5 linked regions of the Bombyx mori genome follow. The protein of the gene in region 5 purifies or fractionates together with the protein of the main gene of each other region. This does not show direct contact. Links are inferred from orthologs where the notes say so. Each region holds a gene or a part of one and is shown on either strand. Other genes may lie near its edges. The genes, in order: TIP41-like protein, mitogen-activated protein kinase kinase kinase 7, serine/threonine-protein kinase polo, chaperonin containing t-complex polypeptide 1 beta subunit and serine/threonine protein phosphatase 6.

Evidence for each region.
Region 1: the proteins of serine/threonine protein phosphatase 6 (region 5) and TIP41-like protein purify together in Homo sapiens (co-immunoprecipitation; 4 studies listed by BioGRID and IntAct, with this or other methods). This does not show direct contact. The link is inferred for Bombyx mori from reciprocal best matches to the Homo sapiens genes PPP6C and TIPRL.
Region 2: the proteins of serine/threonine protein phosphatase 6 (region 5) and mitogen-activated protein kinase kinase kinase 7 purify together in Homo sapiens (affinity purification with western blotting; 3 studies listed by BioGRID and IntAct, with this or other methods). This does not show direct contact. The link is inferred for Bombyx mori from reciprocal best matches to the Homo sapiens genes PPP6C and MAP3K7.
Region 3: the proteins of serine/threonine protein phosphatase 6 (region 5) and serine/threonine-protein kinase polo purify together in Homo sapiens (affinity purification with mass spectrometry; 4 studies listed by BioGRID and IntAct, with this or other methods). This does not show direct contact. The link is inferred for Bombyx mori from reciprocal best matches to the Homo sapiens genes PPP6C and PLK1.
Region 4: the proteins of serine/threonine protein phosphatase 6 (region 5) and chaperonin containing t-complex polypeptide 1 beta subunit purify together in Homo sapiens (affinity purification with mass spectrometry; 4 studies listed by BioGRID and IntAct, with this or other methods). This does not show direct contact. The link is inferred for Bombyx mori from reciprocal best matches to the Homo sapiens genes PPP6C and CCT2.

Annotation. Positions count from the first base shown.
Region 1 is NC_085119.1:10,607,695-10,611,872, reverse strand, and holds the start of TIP41-like protein, read right to left. Parts: upstream 2,810-4,178; 5' UTR 2,508-2,809; coding exon 2,493-2,507; intron 2,435-2,492; coding exon 2,262-2,434; intron 1,694-2,261; coding exon 1,514-1,693; intron 297-1,513; coding exon 83-296; intron 1-82. UniProt on the Homo sapiens protein: May be a allosteric regulator of serine/threonine-protein phosphatase 2A (PP2A). Isoform 1 inhibits catalytic activity of the PP2A(D) core complex in vitro. The PP2A(C):TIPRL complex does not show phosphatase activity.
Region 2 is NC_085109.1:9,467,084-9,471,057, forward strand, and holds the start of mitogen-activated protein kinase kinase kinase 7, read right to left. Parts: upstream 2,805-3,974; 5' UTR 2,601-2,804; coding exon 2,508-2,600; intron 2,428-2,507; coding exon 2,128-2,427; intron 2,013-2,127; coding exon 1,833-2,012; intron 1,250-1,832; coding exon 1,114-1,249; intron 525-1,113; coding exon 424-524; intron 1-423. UniProt on the Homo sapiens protein: Serine/threonine kinase which acts as an essential component of the MAP kinase signal transduction pathway. Plays an important role in the cascades of cellular responses evoked by changes in the environment.
Region 3 is NC_085121.1:12,625,170-12,629,126, reverse strand, and holds the end of serine/threonine-protein kinase polo, read right to left. Parts: intron 3,422-3,957; coding exon 3,195-3,421; intron 2,592-3,194; coding exon 2,455-2,591; intron 1,870-2,454; coding exon 1,688-1,869; intron 1,216-1,687; coding exon 1,082-1,215; intron 920-1,081; coding exon 807-919; intron 709-806; coding exon 514-708; downstream 1-513. UniProt on the Homo sapiens protein: Serine/threonine-protein kinase that performs several important functions throughout M phase of the cell cycle, including the regulation of centrosome maturation and spindle assembly, the removal of cohesins from chromosome arms, the inactivation of anaphase-promoting complex/cyclosome (APC/C) inhibitors, and the regulation of mitotic exit and cytokinesis.
Region 4 is NC_085119.1:8,629,998-8,634,016, reverse strand, and holds the start of chaperonin containing t-complex polypeptide 1 beta subunit, read left to right. Parts: upstream 1-1,219; 5' UTR 1,220-1,313; coding exon 1,314-1,316; intron 1,317-1,477; coding exon 1,478-1,651; intron 1,652-1,735; coding exon 1,736-1,871; intron 1,872-2,253; coding exon 2,254-2,473; intron 2,474-3,351; coding exon 3,352-3,490; intron 3,491-3,621; coding exon 3,622-3,830; intron 3,831-4,019. Other genes in the region: synaptobrevin-1, read right to left, coding at 1-264. UniProt on the Homo sapiens protein: Component of the chaperonin-containing T-complex (TRiC), a molecular chaperone complex that assists the folding of actin, tubulin and other proteins upon ATP hydrolysis.
Region 5 is NC_085121.1:5,013,277-5,017,547, reverse strand, and holds the start of serine/threonine protein phosphatase 6, read right to left. Parts: upstream 2,802-4,271; 5' UTR 2,719-2,801; coding exon 2,554-2,718; intron 2,294-2,553; coding exon 2,148-2,293; intron 1,826-2,147; coding exon 1,684-1,825; intron 1,109-1,683; coding exon 954-1,108; intron 24-953; coding exon 1-23.

The sequences.
Region 1 (4,178 bases), on a different chromosome or scaffold from region 5:
TATAATAAGTAGGTGAATCATCATATTTGCCCCGATATATCCTTTATGTTAAATATTTTCTAAATATTAATGGTGTACTTACAATTTTCACTGAGAGCTTTGATACACCATGATCATGCAGCTCATCTTCAAATAAAGTCAAATCATGGTAGAAGAGTATCTGGTTTTTCTGTTTTAACAGTTCAAAATCAATAGACTCTTCAGTTTCCCAAACTGTAATATTATCACTGATAGATCCTTTGTAATCTGTACAAAAAGTCCAATCAAATGATTTCTTCAACTTTTCTGCATATGGTCTAAAATAAAAATATTCATCATATGTACTTCAACCATTGTGTTAATACTGTTATTTGAGTCGTCTATTATCAAAGATGGCAATCTGTGCATTTTGACAAAAAAATGTTATTGTTATGTCAATACAGATTGATTTGAATATAATCGTCTCCTTCAAAGAATACGGTTCAAAACCTGCATTAAATAAAGGTTAATACTTAACCTGTTATTTATCTAAGATGTCGTTCAGAAGAGTTTTGTGACTGCCAATGGAATACAAAGTCAATCATTCGTTTTTCTGATTTACCAATAATTGTCCAAAAGTCACATTGCCGGCTTTGATAATAGTCGACTCATTTGTAATAATACTTTTTTTATTGCTTAGATGGCTGGACGAGCTCACAATCCACCTGGTTGTTAAATGGTTACCGGACCCCATATAGACATCTACAATGTAAATGCCACCACCCACCTTGAAATATAAAATCTAAGGTCTCAGTATAGTTACAACGGCTGCCCCACCCTTCAAACCAAAACGCATTACTGCTTTACGACAGAAATAGGCAGAGTGGTGGTACTTACCCGTGCGGACTTACAAGAGGTACTACCACCAGTAATTACACAAATTATAATTTGGCGGGTTTTTTTTTTATTACACGATGTTATTCCTTCACCACGATAGTTAATTGAGAGCATTTGTTAAGTACGTATTTCATTAGATAAATTGGTACGTTCCAGCGGGATAGGAACACTGGTGCATCACTAGATATGAATGCATCGGATGTCTTATCCTTTAGGCCACGATGACTTCAAACATTGAAACGCTTGTTTCTCAGTCTCTTATTAAACCAATTGGATGCAAGAGGGCACTACAATGATTTGCCAAAACAGTATCTTATCAACAATAAAAATAATGTTGTAACAACTGTAAGAATATTTTGTTTAAATAAAAATAGGTAAGGTTCTAATAAATGTCTATGGGTAATGTAGGTGTCACTTTTGTATAAGTCCGTTGTTTTTACCTTTTTTTATTTTTAGCTATATCTTACAATAGCAATAAAAGGTATCCCTTCTTACATCTACTCAATATACCCATAAATCTTTGAATAATAATATCTTGAGTTTATTAACAAATAATTTTTAGAACTTATATTAGATTGTATTTTTCACTAAATCCAATTTTAGTAAATATGACATCAATTAATAAAGTTAAGCCCACAGATTAAATAGGTTTCATTACCGTGCTTGCATCCACACTTCAGAACAGGACACTTCAACTGGCTCCACTGTGCTAGCCACCCTTTTAAGAGCATCCAGAGGATTAAAGTTTATACTAGCACCGCTTTTATGTGCTAATGTTAATCTGTTTTTTGGAAATACCATATCAGGGAAATGTGGAATCTTCAGCTCTTTAGAGTAACTGGAATTGATAAATCAACTATGAACATATTAATTTTACTTTTAAGTAATGTGAGCATTCCCAGCTAGTGAGCCACCTATTACAATAAGTACAACTCGGTTCAAATTGAATGGTGTTTGAGAACATCCGAACTATCTGATACATATGACTATAACATCAGGTAACAGTAACATGAATAGAGATCAGATTGGACATCGCACATTCTCTTAACAGTGGTGAGGGAAATATTGATAATTTTTCTATAGATGCCAGTACAATGATTGCAATTTTTTGTTATGGGCCAGTTATGGGTTAGTCTGATTCTCATGTACAATAGAATAACTGTTTTTACAATGCAAATGAGACTGACCTTATATGTCAAGGGCAGTGAGTATTTATGTTGACACCTACACACTCCGTTTACTCCTTTAAACTAGGTTTGTCATTTTGTACTCATAATTAGTGGACATACGTTAATAAGCAAATGTAAAACCGAAAACCATAATTGAAACAACGAAAACTCATACAAACATTGCAATTCGGTTTCTATATTTCAGTTCAATCAATTTAACGATTACTTATTACTTACGTGCAGAACTGACAAAATTGGTCGTCATCTCTCTCGCAAACCACCTTAGTGGCACACATACTGGGTAGTATACGGCTGACATCATACGAAATATGCCAAGGACCAAATTCAATGGACTGCGAATTAGACGTATGACGACCGGCATCAACATTTGTTTCCTGTAAGTTAAGAGGCTGTCAGAAAATTTAATTATTTCAATAATCATACATTATGTAAATTGAGGATCTTTACTTCTGGTCGAAACATTTTGGCACGTTAGATATATTTTCAGCTGATAAACAACAAGAGTTTTGGTTAATTATTAGTAATTATTACTTGATGCTTCACTTTAATCTTTGTTATTGCATTTAAATCATTTTATATTAAATTAAAGTAAACATCAAAATATACACCAAACACTTTTTCGGTCACAGTTTCCCCTATTTAGTGTTTATTTATGTATTTATTTCTATACCAATAAGTAGTTAAGTCGGTAGGACGTCATTATGAGTGTGATAATTTTTTAAGGGATTTTATGACCTGGTAACTAAGACCTTTAGGTCAAGTCTTTGATTGTGTTATACCTAGTTTTTAGCATAGATACACATTTAATATTTAAGAGTTCTTTTGACTGTGGTCTGAAATCTACTTTTCGAAGAACTAATTTAAAAAAAATCGATAGTAAACAAGCAGTTGACCCAGTGAATCGTTTTCAGAAACTATAAAATCGAGTTTCACTAAGCTATTGTTTCGATTGGAATCAACCATAATATAAATTACAATAAGTGAAGCACATGCTAAAAATATTAATTAATAAATAAAAAACTTGATTTCCTCCTATTCAGTTCAATTTCAGTTAATTTCATGAATTTATCTTTACAGAAAAAATAGGTTTTCTATGTAAAAGGCTATGTAGTTAGTGTTAGTGTCTTTTTGTATTAACAAGCGATTAATTAGACAATCCACTTGATGGAAAGTGGTCTGACGCCCGCGGACACTGCCTGTCGTAGAAACATCATCTACCTAATCAGCTACCTACCATAAAATGCTCTCGTTGAACCTACATTGATGAAAGAGATGTCACGGCGTTCCTGAAATATTATTGTGTCATGTTAATGATCAACTTGTATGTTATTTTGACGTGATAACGTCTTATAAATCAATAAAAACGGGCTGCACACACGAAAAAGTAACACGTTCCGCCTGAGCCTGAACGTGCAAGCGAGAGAACGAAACTACCGTTAGAAAGGTACGATCGACACAAGTGTTAATTTATTGAAAAAAATAATAATTTTCAATTAATTCCTTATAAAAAATTATAACTCAGTGATATTAATTCAATTCAATTAATTAAAGTATACAATTTTTCATCAGTGTTTCTTATGACGTACTAATCACGTAAAACTATCTTCCGCAAGCCAACTTTACAGGCAACCCATTTTTTCTACTTAAAAATCAGCTCAGACAAATCAAATCTTAAATTCTCGATCACATTTGTGGTGGTTGCCATCACAGAACACAAAATATTCGACAGATGCCTCAATCTCGCTTACCATATTTTCAAGATTATCTTGCTTATATACAAATTCCGAAATATAAATTTTGGGACCGTCGGTCTACCGAGCAATATCACCCGCTTGGTGGAAGATCTTCCCTTTCTCGTATACCTCCACACATTTTTAGTGAGAATTTACTAGTGGTAGGACATCTAGTGAGACCGCACAGGTAAGCACCACCATCTCACCTTTTTCTGCCGTGAAGCAGTAATGCATTTCGATTTGAAGTGTGGGGCAGCCGTTGCACTGTAAAAACGGAGACCTTAGAATTCATGTCTCGAAGTGAGTGGCGGCATTTACGATGTAAATGTCTATGGGCTTCGGTTACCACTTAATATCAGGTGCGCCATGAGCTCGTCCAACCATCAACGCTATAAAAATA
Region 2 (3,974 bases), on a different chromosome or scaffold from region 5:
GTTAGTAGATGAATATAAAAAAAAATAGACATTTAAAAGTAAGCCCACGAGAATTATAATTTGTGTAACTGCCATTCAATTGAGACATATACACCACAAGCTGCATGGCAGCATTCACATTGTAATGTCTATAGGTTTTGGTAGCCACATAACATGATTTTTTTTGTGACACATGCACAAAGTTCAGTTACATTTTCGTTTTGGTAATTCTGTTTGTAAGATGTTTGTAAAATGCAATCCAAACGTAACTGTAATACATGATTTTATAAATAATAGTCTCACTTATAAAATAGCTTCATGTGAAAGCTGAATTCTGACTCTTTACTGTTTAATATTTGATGAAGTAAAATTTAAAAGACAGCCAAACTGCTCAGTTCAAAAGGTTGCACCTTGAGAGCAATTAATAGTTAAAATGAAACATACCTTGGCCATGCTTGGTCTTTGTGCTGGTATTTTGTGCCAACATTGTGTCATCAGCTGCTCTATTGGCTCCGGGCATCCCTCTATTAGATTTGGTCTTTGACCTGAAAATTCACAGTTATGTAACTGAAATTCAGGCATCAGCATATTATTAATTCAATTACCCTAAATATTAAAATGATTGTGATAAATACACACAAGTCAACAATAGTAATTTTTTTGTCTTGAAAAAATTTTTTGGTCATATCCCTATTTTCTACACTTAGGTTATTAACCACAATTTCTATTGTGATGTAGAGATTTTCCATTAAGATCTTTTTTCTTAAAGTTTATCCTGTTTTCACACACACACATAAATACAGGGTCTTAGTAGCAGGTTAGGATAGTAGCACTGAACTCTTCATTTCCATAAGCAAGAGTAACCAATTATGATAGGTGACCCAATTATGACAGTACGCTTCGAGATGTGATTCTCAGTTTGATCCACTTTATAATCAAGCAAGTGTGAAATTTTTAACACACAGTCAATCGAAACTTGTTCGCAACCATAATAGATTTCTTAAAATTTAATAGCACGAATTTTTTTGTCATAATAAGCATATTGGATGAAAATTAGTAAGTTTTACCATAATATCTAATCAACGATCAACTATTGTATCTTCACTAAATAACAATTTAAATAACAGATCAAACCTGTATGCACCGCCCACATTATTCTATATGCAGAACCACCTTCTTCAAATGGTTTCCTCCTAGATAATACCTCCCACAGTATTATCCCCCATGAGAACACATCACATTTTTCTGTGTATGTTGATCCTTCAAATACCTGAAAAACATTAAACAGTAATGTTTTAAAAGCTTTGAATTATAATCTTCCTATTCATTTATTTCTTCTATCTAATATAAGGCATTGTGGTTAAATAATATTTAAAAGCATAATGATTTAAATTTTAAATTCAGCTAAGCTTAAAATATTTCTATACGCTAAACAATTTGCTGAGTAATTTGTAATTTCACCTTATCTTATTACACACAATGAAATTCAAGTTATTTTGGTTTGGTTTCAATAACTATTAGTACTTTAAAGTTTTTCCTTTTATAATCCATGCAATTAAGTTTCATTGTGGCTTTTATTTTTATAAAAAAGTTATAAAAGTAAATATTGATTTTATTTTCCGTACTCTTTTTCAAAGATAATGTTTGTCCTTATAATTTTAAAATACTATTAGATGCTGGTAATAATATTATAAAACTGAATGAAGCAGAAAAAGTAACAAACACAAAATAATAGTTATTTCATTTTCATCGTCATTATAATGATCTTAATTATTTATAGTCAAGTTTAGTTTATACATATAGTTTAGTAGTAAAGTTCTATTATTGCATTACACTGTTTTTGGAATACAAACCTCAGGAGCCATCCAAGCAGCACTGCCTTTATTATTCGTCATGTATGTTGCCTTATCAGCTGCTGTGCCAAAATCACAAATCTTCAGGCGTTGCCCTCCACCCACTAATAATAGATTGGGTGGTTTTAAATCCCTGTGTATTAATGGTTTTGGTTTCATGGAGTGAAGGTATGCTACACCCTAAAACAATGGTATTTTTAATCCATTGCACAATTAAAAATAATTTTGTATTTAAGATAATACTTAATATAATACACTGGCTTTTGTATTTTGATGATCAATAGTAAATTATTACCTCAGCGCACTGGCGGGCCCAGCTCATTGCATGTGCTGCTGTGTATTTGGGTTTGGGTCGGTTGTGTAGTACATTATAGAGAGAGCCACCTTCTGCATACTCCATGACGAGGCATACGTGAGCACCCCGCGTGCACGCTCCGTACAATCGCACAATGTTTGGGTGACATACGCGAGATAACTGGCGTACCTCGATCGCAAATTCACGTTTCTCCGCCTCTGAATTTATGTGCTTTACCGCTACAAATCTGTTCCGCCATACACCCTTCCAGACAACACCGAAGGCCCCTTTCCCTACGACCTGTCGAATTTTTAAGAATCTCAGAACATGCTATTAAAAACTTTGATTTTGTCAAAACGTATCTGTGTCCAAATATTTACCGAAAGCTCCTGTATTTCACTGTAATCAATCTCCTCCACAAACGTCTGCTGATGAACTGGCGAGTCTTGCACATTGGAACTATTGGAAGCCATTGGTACACTTATTATCACATTATCAATATGACTAGAAAGATTATACAAGCCTTATGTGTTACAAACTAATAAGTTTTCTTTATAAATTGGTAAAAATAGTTGGTTAACTCAATTTCTTCAGTATTGTTTGGCAGAAAAAAGCAACTGCGACAAGGCCGCCATCTTTGAAACTGTAGAACAAATGTCATATTTCGATAGAGATGTGCCGAGCTCATTGTTGACATTGATCTATCGGTAGGATTTACAAAAAAACTGTGGTTTTTACACTTTGAGTACAGAAATAGCATTTAATTAATAAGAATAATATGCCAAATTAATTAATTATTTAAGTTTTTTTCTGAGAATGAGATGTTTATTTCTCCCGGATTAGTAGGTATATTAGTTATGACCATTTTTTAAAATATATTTTCCTGTTTAATGGTTGTTTTTATCCTCATCTAATATATAAAATTCTCGTGTCACAATGTTCGTTCCCATACTCCTCCGAAACCGCTTGACCGATTCTCATGAAATTTTTTATGCATATTCAGTAAGCCTGAGAATCGGCTACTATCTATTTTTCATACCCCTAAGTGATTAGTGTTGTCCACCCCTAACATTTTATTTTTTATTTGGACTTTTTTTTTTGTTATAATGAGGTATTATGTGGTTGAATGAGGTTTTGTTATTTTATTATATATTCCCTCATCGTTCACAGCACTACATACCTCTTTCACTCATTTACCACATCCTTACACACTTACAATAAGTTAGTTTTTTTTTCTACCCTAGAAATTCCCTAGAAATCTTATATATGGCAAAACAATGTTTGCCGGGTCAGCTAGTCATTATATAAAATCTTCTACATTTCGAGCCTGTGTTGTTCCAGATTGGCTATAGCTTACAGTTTATTTACAGTTTTTACCGTCTGCGAGTCACATTGAAGGCGAAGACAGTTGTATCTGGGAGCTCCTTCTTTTTGGTCGTTCCCTCAATGCTGAGGATCGTGACTGTATGTCAATCTTCTCCACTCGGTCCGGTTCTGCGCCATATGTACCGCTCCCCATATCTGGGAGCTCCTAGATCCATTCATCTCTTGGTTAGAAATACTAAAAACCTAGAGTTGTTTCTCTGATATGTAGGTATGATGTTAAAGTACGAAGCAGTTAATATTTGAGACCGTGGAGGTCTCACACCTTAAAGATGAAATTAAGGTTCAAGACACCTCAATTTCAATATTTAAAATTAATGCAGTTAGTATATTGAGTCATTATCGAATTTTAATTTCGCCGGTTTAAGGGAGTAAGTAAAGCTAAATTGGCTTCTAAAACGGGGGTCTTCCTTAGGAAAAAGATTTTCCTCTGGTCGTACTTGCACTCATAAAACGCAGCGGTC
Region 3 (3,957 bases), about 7.6 Mb from region 5:
CTGAAATGGCAAAGTCAGTAAGTTTTGCATCAAATGGAATATAATATGTATTAACAACCAAAGACACATATTTAAAGAATAAAAAAAAAAGTCGAAAGTTTTGCTCATATACTGAATCGGCAAAATAATTTGATGCTAAATCATTAAAAAGTATTTACTAAATAAATAGACAGTATCGGTGGATTTTTAACCTAAGTTTGAAATTTTAGGGTACAAAATTGATTTTAGTGACCCTTCTATTAAATTATAATATACTGGTGACTATCCTAAAAATACAAAAGGTAATATAATTTTTATTTTAGAAAAGTAGGAGACCCTAGGAAATTTAAGTGTAAAGATTTTTTTTATCAAGTACAGACTATCTCAATCAATAAGAACAGAATGATGAAAATTTGTAGTGATTTCAAACTTTTTTGCTATTTACATAAGCAGGGTCTCTTGGTTTACACAGTTCTTCATTGGAGCTTTCCACAAAGCCCACAAATTCATTTACTCATTTAGGTTCAGTGAAAACTAGCACAGTTTGTTTGCCAATACACTGTTTAGTTTTTCCAATGCATATGTGAGGTTTGTGTAAAGCTTTTTATCACAGCCATGCTCTTCAATGGTATTAAAGCGGAATGTTCTGAAATTCTTCTCTATATCTATGTAGGTGACAGCTTGCATAAGTGGACACAGTATTATCTTTGTGTGATCTTGGAAGTTTATCTGTAATATTAGAAAAAAAAAACAATCATGATGAGAAAGAAATATAACAGATCAATAAAAATTATATGCCAACAGCATTAAAATATAATTCTACTAACCTGTAAAGTTCCATTAGTCAGGTACATAATAACAGCTAAAGTTGTTCGAAACCACTGGTGTAAATGTGGCAAACGAGACAGACCATCACTCTCTCGCACTGGTACTGAAGCACCTGGATAATGGTAAATTTATTTAAAAGCGATAACATTGTTGTTAAGTATGAATACATTAGTTACTCATGCCATAAGAAAACTATTGCTCACACATTTTGTTTTCTGAATATTCTATTTGATTTATATGCTTTAGTGATGACAATGGATGTTGAAAAATTTACCAGCTTTCATGAGATGTTCGGTCATGTATCGTCTAAAGTATGTAAGGAGTTTCATTTTTTTGTCGAGTTCTTGCGGGTAATCGCGCATCGTCATGTACTGCTCTTGGCCCTGCCGATTGATGTAGTGCACATTCCTGAAAAAGGATAGTTTATGCAGATCTCCTTTTATTTTTTCAGATAGCAATATGAAGATTTTGTTGCTTGCTAATCTGCACATTACAGTCATAATACAAAACAATTGAGAATCACGCCGCAAGGAATATGCTATTAACATATTATGATGTCTATGGATTCTTATCACTTGTATAAAAAAGTGTATTGCGAATTTTTTTTCTTCAAAATATGTTTAAAGTTTGTGTGAGCTATGATTTGATTCTAATTTTGAGTGTGCAATGCATTCGTTTTATGACATATTATACTTTGATTCTCATTATAAAGATATAAAAAAAAAAACTATTTTAAGCTTTAGTGATTCGAACGTGATTTCGAATTTTAGTGAGTTCGAAACTGTTGCAAGCGCCTGTTGTATACTACTATAATATAATATAATTAAAAATATGTATATCTGATATTATCATCTAATATTTATATTAAACGTAAACTTACAGTCCATTAGCGAGCATGATAAGCTTGGTAGTATCGTTGAACATGACACCGACGCTCTCGTCGCAGAGCTGGTATCCGAATCCGTATTTGTCGCTGTAGTCGACCCACTTGCCAACCCACACCAGCGGCTGTGCTGCGGGATCGCTCAGCTCGTCTGTCAGAGCCTCCGGTCGGCATTTCAGCTAAAAGTTATAGAAAATGCCAACATACAGTCAAACTAGTTGTTTATAATTAAGTTACAAAAGTTCCATAAGATGAAGAGTTTATCAATTTATTTCTACTTATGATAAGGTTATCAGCGTATACCAGTTCATAGCACGGTCCTGCCCTATTTCAAAACTAGAGCCTATTAAATGTTATTTAGACCATAGGTATTTTTTCTCATCTATACATATAAATAAAATTGGAGTGTCTATTTGTAATATTGAAATAACCGCTTTTTACTAAGCGCATAATATGAATATATATACGGTACATATACCAAAATAACATTTTTAACAATTTTTGTCGGTCTGTTTGTTCCGGCTAATCTCTGGAACGGCTAGACCATTTTGACGAGACTTTCACTGATAGGTAGCTGATGATATAAGGAGTAACTTAGGCTACTTTTTTAAGACTAGCTTCGCCCCGCGGCCTCACTCGCGGTACGACAATAACCGCGGGTAACATCGCGAGACTCAGCTATTAATTAATAATAAAATTTAATGTTTCCGAAGCGAAGCGAAGGCGGGTCGCTAGTATTAATATAAAAAAAAACTATATTTTACCTTGTTAACCAACAATGCAGCGAGCTGGTCTCGCAGTGCAATAAAATTCTGGCGGTGCGACGTTGGTTCCACAGCTCGTGGCCCCGCGGGGGTAGCTTCGCGTTTGACGGGCGAGTCCACTGCCATCGTCTCTTGTTCTATTCAATTGAAAGTACGTATTATAAATGTCAATTCATTTATGTTGAATTTTAAAGTAGCTAATTATAAAAGGAGAAAAATGCTGCTTTTTTGATTCTATGAAGATTTTGATGTGCATAAGTGCTCCTTAATGAATCTTCTATCTATCTATCTATATATATAAAAATGAATTGCTGTTCGTTAGTCTCGCTAAAACTCGAGAACGGCTTGACCGATTTGGCTAATTTTGGTCTAGAATTATTTGTGGAAGTCCAGAGAAGGTTTAAATATGAAAATGCTCAGAATTGAATAAAAATAACAATTTTGTTTTTCTTTGATGTGTACCCCGTCAAACGGATTCCTTTTGTTTGTTTTAAGTTTATTTTATGCAAAAGTTTAGGTCTTTTTTTTATTTATCGATTGAGGCACTACGAAGTCTGTCGGGTCATTAATAAAGATCCGCGCATATCCGACATATTCTTTAGTGTTCATCGTAACTGCGATGATATTTTACCATTTAAAACTATAATTTCTTTAATTATTATTGAACTCTCCCTCATCAATTTATGAGGGAGAAAGTCTCGAAGTCTAGCCTGCGATTAAATAAATTACAATATATGCACCGTTAGCATGAACTTCGTTAAGAGGGCGGCGGTGTACCAGCATGCCCTCGAGCTGGTCAGTGCGCGGCGCTGTGGTGAGGCAAGAGACGGGCAGCCCGGCTGGCAAAATCCCCGATGAGAAGAATTCATGCTGCAGAAGTTTGTCCACGGACGGACGACGCGCAGGGTTCGATTGCAACTGCAGTACAATCATGGACGCCGCCGGTTTGCGAAGCGACGACGGAATCCTGAAGATATATTTGATTGTTCGAGATCGACAAACGTGAAGACCAAGGGAATTGTTATATTAGAAGGCCAGAAGAACAGTAGTCATAGAGCTATACCAACAGGGATGTCAATTTTATAACACTAGGCCTGCACCAGACTACAACACGAATGATCACATTGTAGTCTGGTGCCTGGCTCTGGTTGACAATCGAGTGAAGTGTTGGCTCTAGTGACCAAATTTCTCAGTTAATAACAAAAAGTTACTTTAACTCTTAGAATTAGGAACTCTATATACAAATAGTATTATTTTCCTAATTCAGTTTCAACATATTATATAGTATAGTAAGTAGTACATAGTTTGTTTTATAATATTGCGTTATTAATAATTCCTAGTAATAATTTTAAACTTAGTGCTGTTTTAAATTTTAATGATTGAGATTGAAATACATTTAGATTCGAAATTAGAAACATTTTTTACATTACTAAGACTAAGTATGACTTGTGTTGTAAGTTAAGCAGACGTTAGAAATATCCACAATACATAAAGCTGCACATC
Region 4 (4,019 bases), on a different chromosome or scaffold from region 5:
ACCAATAGCACCTATAATTAACATCATCTTCAAATTCTGCCACCAATACTTGCGCTTAAGTTTTCCAGCTTGCTGTTCAAACTGTGCAGCCCCATGTTGCAGCGCATCTGCGCGATTATCTAGTTCCGACAATTTTTGGTCTCTTTCCAAAACTTTCTCGACATTGACACGCATAATGCCAACAACTTCATCTACTTTGGCTTGTGTTTGTGCCAAGCGTTTGTCGCTTACTCTTGGTGCGGAACTTCCTCCTTGTTCTTCCATTTTTACTGTATATTATGAACTGTTTTTATTAAATTTCAATGTGAATGTAACTAGATTAATGCAGAATATTATTATTCGGTCACTGGTGACGGGCGTAGAATGTAAATATGGCGTCACCACAGACTAAATAGAAATATTAGGATTAGGGATGGCGGATGGCGCTCTAAGATTGATTGCTTAACCAAAATGAAACGATTTTTAATCGATAAATAGATTTCAAATAGTAAAATTTCGAGATTTTTGTATTTCATTTATAACGTTTCAAAGCTGGTAACTTGATGAAATTTAACGATTTGATGCAGTGGTATTCAACTTTATTTTAAGGCAGTGTATAAGGTATATACGGATGAACTTTAGTACGATTTTGTAACAAAAACCACAGCCATTTATTCAATTTTATTCGCCATCGTTGAAATATGTTTATAACCATCGCTCATGATCATCATCAACAGCACAACCAGGTCAAATAGTATTCAAAAAATGTAATGGAGGAGAGTTTATTCCAAAACTAAATTGTATGTAGCAAGAAATCTTTTTGAAAACGCAGTGGTTTTAGGTTCGGCTATGGCGACAGAAATGTGACGATAAAAAAAAAGAGATCATAAACAACGTTCAGCGATTTTATTGACTTCAATTCTCCCTGTCAAAGCTGCCCTAATTAATAAATTACTATGAACACACGTTTTAATCTGAGGAGACAATTCACTAATAAAATAAATGAATTCGCATAACTTCGGTCAATCAATTTGCATTTCCACCAAAGATTCATTCTTCGATTTCATTTGTAAAATCACTTCCATTTCAATATTCATACGAGGCTTTGATTTTTGTAATACAAGATTTCATTACATGAGTTTCGTTCCCTTTGCTTTTCCAATAGACAAGTTTAGCAAAAAACAGAGAGCAAATACATAGAGCATAGATAATACATGACATAGAGTATACATTATTAGTGATCAAAGTGGTCGTTCGGTCGTTCCCTTTTCTCTTTGTGCATTGTAGCCGATAAAAGCGTAAAGAAAAATAATTAATTAGGTCCTTCATCCAAAATGGTTAGTAAAATCTTTAATTTAATCTAACGTATCTTCATTGTTACTGATACTTATAAGTAAAAACGACGTATTCAGTGAAAACTAAGTGAAAATAGAACCCGATGCCGTATAACCTCACGCACGTGTACATGTAATTCTAAATTAAAATTAATTTAATACAGGTATCATTAAATCCAATTCGTATCCTTAAAAATGAAGCAGAAGAGGAGAAAGCTGAAGTTGCCCGGATGTCCAGTTTCATCGGTGCTATTGCCATAGGAGATTTGGTAAAGAGTACTTTAGGTCCCAAAGGAATGGATAAGATCTTAGTTTCCTGCGGGAGGAACTCTGGTCAGGTAAAATTAACTGTCTTTTTATTAAACATTAATAATGTATGCTGTGTTTTGAAATGTTTTATGCATAAAGAATTTTCGCTTCAGGTCGAAGTAACAAATGATGGTGCTACGATATTGAAATCTATCGGTGTGGATAATCCTGCTGCTAAAATCCTAGTAGATATGTCTAAGGTACAAGATGAAGAAGTCGGAGATGGCACCACATCTGTTACAGTTTTGGGTTAGTTTAAACTTTAGTGACAATAATGTTGTCTTTAATTTAATTTTTTTTTATTGCCCTTGTAAGCAGACGAGCATACGGCCCACCTGATGGTAAGTGGTTACCGTCGCCCATGGACTTCAGCAATGCCAGGGGCAGAGCTAAGCCACTGCCCACTGTTGAGTACTCTCCACAAGCCTCGTTTGAAAAAGAACAAGCAAGCAAGGCGCTAGGGAAACACCTCGGCCAACACATTGACTCTGTACATTGTTATAAATTTAAAAAAACTTACCAAATAGTTGAAATATGTTTGTAAATATACTATTTTTAACATATAATCAGATTTTTTTTTGTAATTCATGTAAACGCATCTCATAATGATAAAAGTTCTATTTAAATTCAGCTGCTGAATTACTTCGAGAGGCTGAAAAATTAATTGAACAAAAACTGCACCCTCAAACAATCATTGCTGGTTGGAGAATTGCTTCTGATGCAGCCAAACAAGCTCTTGCAGAAGCTAGCTTTGATCATCAGAAGAACTTAAATGAGGCTTCATTAAGAGTGGATTTAGAAAACATCGCACGGACCACACTGAGCTCAAAGATCCTTTCAAATCACAAAGAGTGAGTAGTGAAAACCAGTATACTGTGAAATTACATTGTTTTCAATACCAATTGAAAAATATCTTTATTTATTAGCTATATCTGTGACATACTAGTATATTAATTCCAATATTATTAGATATACATATATTTTAATTCATTAGGTCTTTTATTTTCCAAGACTTATTGCTGTATTGCTAATGTTACTATGTGTATTTTTTTTTTGTAGGGCAACTCAATTTTATCTACCAGTGTTTGCAATCAGGGTCTTCATTAGAATGTCTAAGTTCTGATTTTTTTAGAGTTGTGATCACCAAAGATTTAGAGGACAACTTTATATCAATGAGTTGAGCGTAAAAAGAGTATAAGTCATGAGAATCTGCTTTAAAAATAATGTAAATTTACCAGTAATGGCTGAATAATTATAACTTTTGGCTAAGAATCATAATTTCTTTTGTCATTTAGCTGTAGCTTAATAGCAGATATAAAAAAAACTGTAGTTTGTCTATGTGTCAGCTTATCTAGAAAATATTGGCATCAGATTATCTAAGCCCAAAAAGCAGAGGTTAATTAAAGTCATTTCTCATATTTTTTAACACAGAAACTGTACAAATGGGGTGAAATGTTTTATGAGATTTTTATTTATTTATTACACTTCATGTTAAATTTACATTGGCGGAATTAATGCCTAAGGCATTCTCTACCAGTCAACCAAAGGTAGTGCCGAGATTTATATTTTTTATCCAAATTACTAAAGCTTGAGGTATTTTTTTAATTAGCCTCAATAGTGCACTTAGTCTCAAGTGCTATCAGAGCCAATAGGCATTACGATATACATACAACATAGTTGCATAAATATTCAGGCCAAAGACAGTATAAACTGTATAATATTCTTTCAGGCATTTCACAAAATTAGCAGTTGATGCAGTTTTGCGTTTGAAAGGATCTGGTAATTTAAAAGCTATCCAAATTATCAAAATATCTGGAGGTCTTCTTGAAGAGTCATTCTTGGATGAAGGGTTCTTGCTAAACAAAAAAGTAAGTTTTAAAAAAACCTTTGAATGATTGAGTTTTAGTGCTCTTTAGTTTTTCTATTTGATCATTACATTAATAAAGAAAAACAGTACCTATAGATACAAAAATTTTAATGGGCATATTATTTCTTATAGGTTGGTGTACATCAACCAAAGAAAGTAGAAAATGCTAACATCCTTATTGCAAACACACCAATGGACACTGACAAGATTAAAGTGTTTGGTTCCACAATTAAAGTGGATTCAATGGCCAAGATTGCTGAATTGGAAGTAGCTGAGAAAGAGAAAATGAAGGACAAAGTGAACAAGATTTTAGCACACAAATGTAATGTCTTCATTAACAGGTGAGATTGTTTTGCTATAAAGATTTGTATAATTGCTCTATTTTTGGATACTCAGAAAATATTATTATAGATTACTTATTATTATACATTACTTATTCTTATACAAAACTGATTGCTGTTGCAAATATTGGTTCTTAATTATTATTTTTCAGTCAGTGAGTCATAAGTTGTTTTTATTTTGTATTTGCT
Region 5 (4,271 bases):
CAGCTCCACGAGGACTTACTGACCTGTACATTAAAAAAAATGTATTATTACATGTTTTTTTTTATAATCATTTGGATCTGGGTTCTCCACAATTAAAACACTAAATCTTATCATGATCATACTGACACTTAGTACACAAAGTGACCTAGTTTGGACCACAAACACTATAAAGTATTAGAAATATTAGAAATAATATACAGTCAAAATCTGTTATAACGACATCGAAGGGACTGCTCATATTCAGTCGTAAAAACCGATAGTCGTAACAACCGGTGATGTTTAATGTGTATCGCGCAAGTACAAATAAATCGATAGGGAATTATTGGAAAAATATATTTACATAATACGCGATTTTTCTTCAATATTAATTTGTTTTCTTTTTTTTTGTGACATTTTTAAAGTTTCATGAATAACTCCACAAAGTTTTGGTGCGTCTTGTGTATAGATAAGTAACAAACTAACTGAAGAAATATGAAGAAGCGGACTTTGACTACCGCATGCACGTGTTTTGTTTCTAAGAATTAGAAAAGACCCTACACTAAACTAAATCCTATTGTTTTCTTTCGTGATTTTAAAAGCCATTGAAGACAAATGTGGATACCTATTCAAATTGTTTACAATACAGCTTAGCCGGTCGTTCTAACAGATCTAATTCTCCGAAATATTAGTTAAATGTGGTCGTTTTATGAGGTATGTCGTAGAAAGCAATATTTTTAATAAGGCGGTCATATGGCATTCAGCCGGGACCTTTGTTCTTGGTTATTATAACCGGCATGTTGTATTAAACGATGTCGCAGTAAACGGTTTTGACTGTAATAATTATACAAAACACAAGATTAAACCGTAAAAGTACTTTTAATTAGTGAGGATGAGTGAAACCAGACAATGTCTTACCCAGAGCCTACATTCTACATCTTTCATATACTCTACATCAGCATTAGCTACATACTCACCACATTTTCACATCAGCAGGATCTGACCACAACAAATCACAGAATGCACCTTTGTGTGGAATTTGTTGATTTCTATCAATGCATCTTATTTGATCAATCATAGATATTTCTGGTGATAGACCACCGTGCACACATAGGACGGTTTCATCAATTAACTGTAAAAGTTGCTGACTTAAATGATTTGTTGTAACATAATCTAATTTAATTTTTTTATTGCTTATATAGATAAAGGAGTTTACGGCCCACCTATTATTAAGTGGTTACTAGTCTGTAAACATGAACAAAAGCCAATCTTATCCCCCACCTCGAGACAAAGTTCTAACTCTGTTTTGCAGTACAATGCCTGCTTCATCTTAGAAATAAGCGCGATAATGATATCTACCTGTGCCGGTTAACAAGATGCCCTACCTAAATTAATTATACAAATTATACTTAGTACATACCTAGTTGGTTCAATTTTTATTACAAATTAGTAATCCTCCATCATGGAAGTCACTTGGACACATGTGTTCAGTACTTATATCATTAGAAAAATTGATACCATCATTTTATTGTTGAAAATGTTATTGACTTCGTTAAAATTGCAAAATTGTCTGAAGTTTTCAGCCATAAAACTATGACAAACATGAACCATAATCCCAATTTATTCTTAAGAAATAAGCTTTATAACTAAAATTTTAAGCTAATTTATATTTTTATTTTAGATAATATTTATTCAATGTCCACTTACTGCAGCAACAGTGAGCAAATCAAAAACTCTGCAACAGTCTTTCCATGCATTTGCATTTCCATATTTATTGAGACATTCATCATAAAATCCATAAACCTTAGTTATTTGACATGTTTCATGATTACCCCTTAATAAGATTATCCTGAATAAGAAGATTTGAATATAAATATTATTAAACAAGATGTTGAAAGGCAATGTGTATCAACGAAATAATATTGACAAAAAAAAACAATATTAATTTTGCATCCATAAATACTTATTATCTGGAGTTACCTTTATTTGTATATTATGAAAAAACTTATTCTGATTAATGGGGAAATTTATTGATTTCATATAACCTCAATCAATATTGATATAATGATAATTGATATTAATAATAATTGATATAATTACGTAACAGCAATATGTATTTTTTCATCCATATCTTTGACTTAATACTTTAAATTTTTTAAAGTACAACTCACCTATCTGGATATCTAGCTTTCAAGGCCATGAGCAAGGTTAGTGTTTCTAAACTATAATATCCTCGATCCACATAATCTCCCATAAATATGTATTTTGTATATGGCACTTGACCACCTATGTGAAAAAGCTCCTCTAAATCATAGAACTGAAAATATTGAAATTACATTTTGAAATATAGTTTTTCTACAGGAGCTCTTAGACATTTCATTACTAAACATTTCATTATTATTATTCTTATACTTATAATTGAATTTACAATTTATTAGTTGCAGTAATTTAGAAAATTAACTGATGGTTTTATCCAACAAACTTTTTTAAATGATTTAAGTTGTAAAGTCACAAGAGAATAAGCTGGTTAGTTTTCCGATGTAATTTTAAATGTTTCAGTTGGATCAGGCAGCTTACCTGTCCATGAATATCACCACAAACCGTCACAGGTGTCTGTACCGGCTGAACATTAGGTTCTTCAAGTAACAAATCACAAACTATATTGCACAGTTCCCGTAGGTCATCTTCCGGGAGGTATTTGCATCTCTTTGCAACTTCTATCCATTTATCTATATCCGTCATTTCTAAAACAAATTAAAATATATTTACGGATAAACGAAGAATGGCCTTTTAACCTTAATTTATATTAAATGCATAAATCCGAACTAGAGGTAAATGAATTGCCTTAGACTGGTTGACAGTGACAGACATGCAAAAGTGGCAGTTCTCTGTTCCGTTTTTCTAATTGGAAAGGCGAAGATGTAACACCATACTGTCTAATCTTTTGTAAATTATGTTTTATGAAAAATGACATGGAGCAAAAGGAAATAACTTGATTAATTTGAGCCGTTAATCAATTAAGAAATGAAACGAGATAATATTATCTCATTTGTAGAGCCTTTAATTAATTCTATATAGAATTAATTAGATATATAGAATTCTATACAGAATTACTTAAAGGCTCTACAAAATAGTGGTCATTTATTGAATTTTTTGGAGATCCTTAGAAGTTATGTCTAGCGGCCTTGTTTCATTTTCCCACAATTGTGTCCTTTTACAGATGCTAAACAGTAAACGACCATCACTACACGTTTAAAACTATAAAGACACTAAATTATAAAAAAAAAAAATCACAACTCGTAATCCTCGCGCTCTCCCGCCCAACCGACTGCATAAGGTCCCCAGTCCCCAGTTGACTTGTTGTAAAATAAAATAATTTCATGTTGTGTTTGAAGATGTCTCTATTCCACATTCTCTAATGTATAATATGTGATATGAAACCGCCAATTTATAATTTGTCTATTTTAAAGGCAAAGACAAAATAATTTTTGGCCTATGGTTATATTACTGGGTTATTAAATCGATATCACGATGCTTAATTCGACCAAAATAATCAAATGACGCAAATAGTCAAGAAGTAAACAGATGTATACTGGATTTTGAAAAACATAAGCTGTAGGTATATAGATTCTGATTCTGAAGATTCTGTACTCGTTTAGACAGTACGTCAGTGTACCCATTAGCCGCTTCATTGCCCCGTAGACTACCAGTCTGCAAAATTCTGCACCTTATTATGCCCCGTAGACCACAAGTCTACTAGATTTAGGACCATTAAATTGCCCGTGTGGACTAGTGGTCTACAAGCCCTCTTGACTTGACCTTCCTCTAGTTTTATGAATATTATCCGTCTTGCTCGTTCATTAGTGTGTTTATATATATCTTTCCTGCTTCTTTGATAAATTTCCAACCAAATAAAACCAATAGACCGTATTCCAGTCCTGGAAAAAATTATAAAAAAACAAAAAACAAAGTTGAAGTTGTCATTTGCAAATGTGTGGTTCGCGTGTGCTGTGATATAAGTGTCGTGCCGCATTGTGAAGAATTTTAATACTTACGGTGAGTATTTTTACTTGATTTTTTATTATTATCAAGGTAAGTAAACTACTAAACTGTAGAAATAAAGTTTTCAGCGTGAAACACAAAATTTGTCCTTTTCTGAACCCGATAAAGTTGACGGTATATTTTGGGCGCGCGCTTCCCGGCTAACGTAATAGCTGCCGACGAAGTCCTTCGGAACGTGGTAGGACCGGAAACCGATCTGCTTCATTTTGACTGGCGAGGCGAGCCGGAAAATT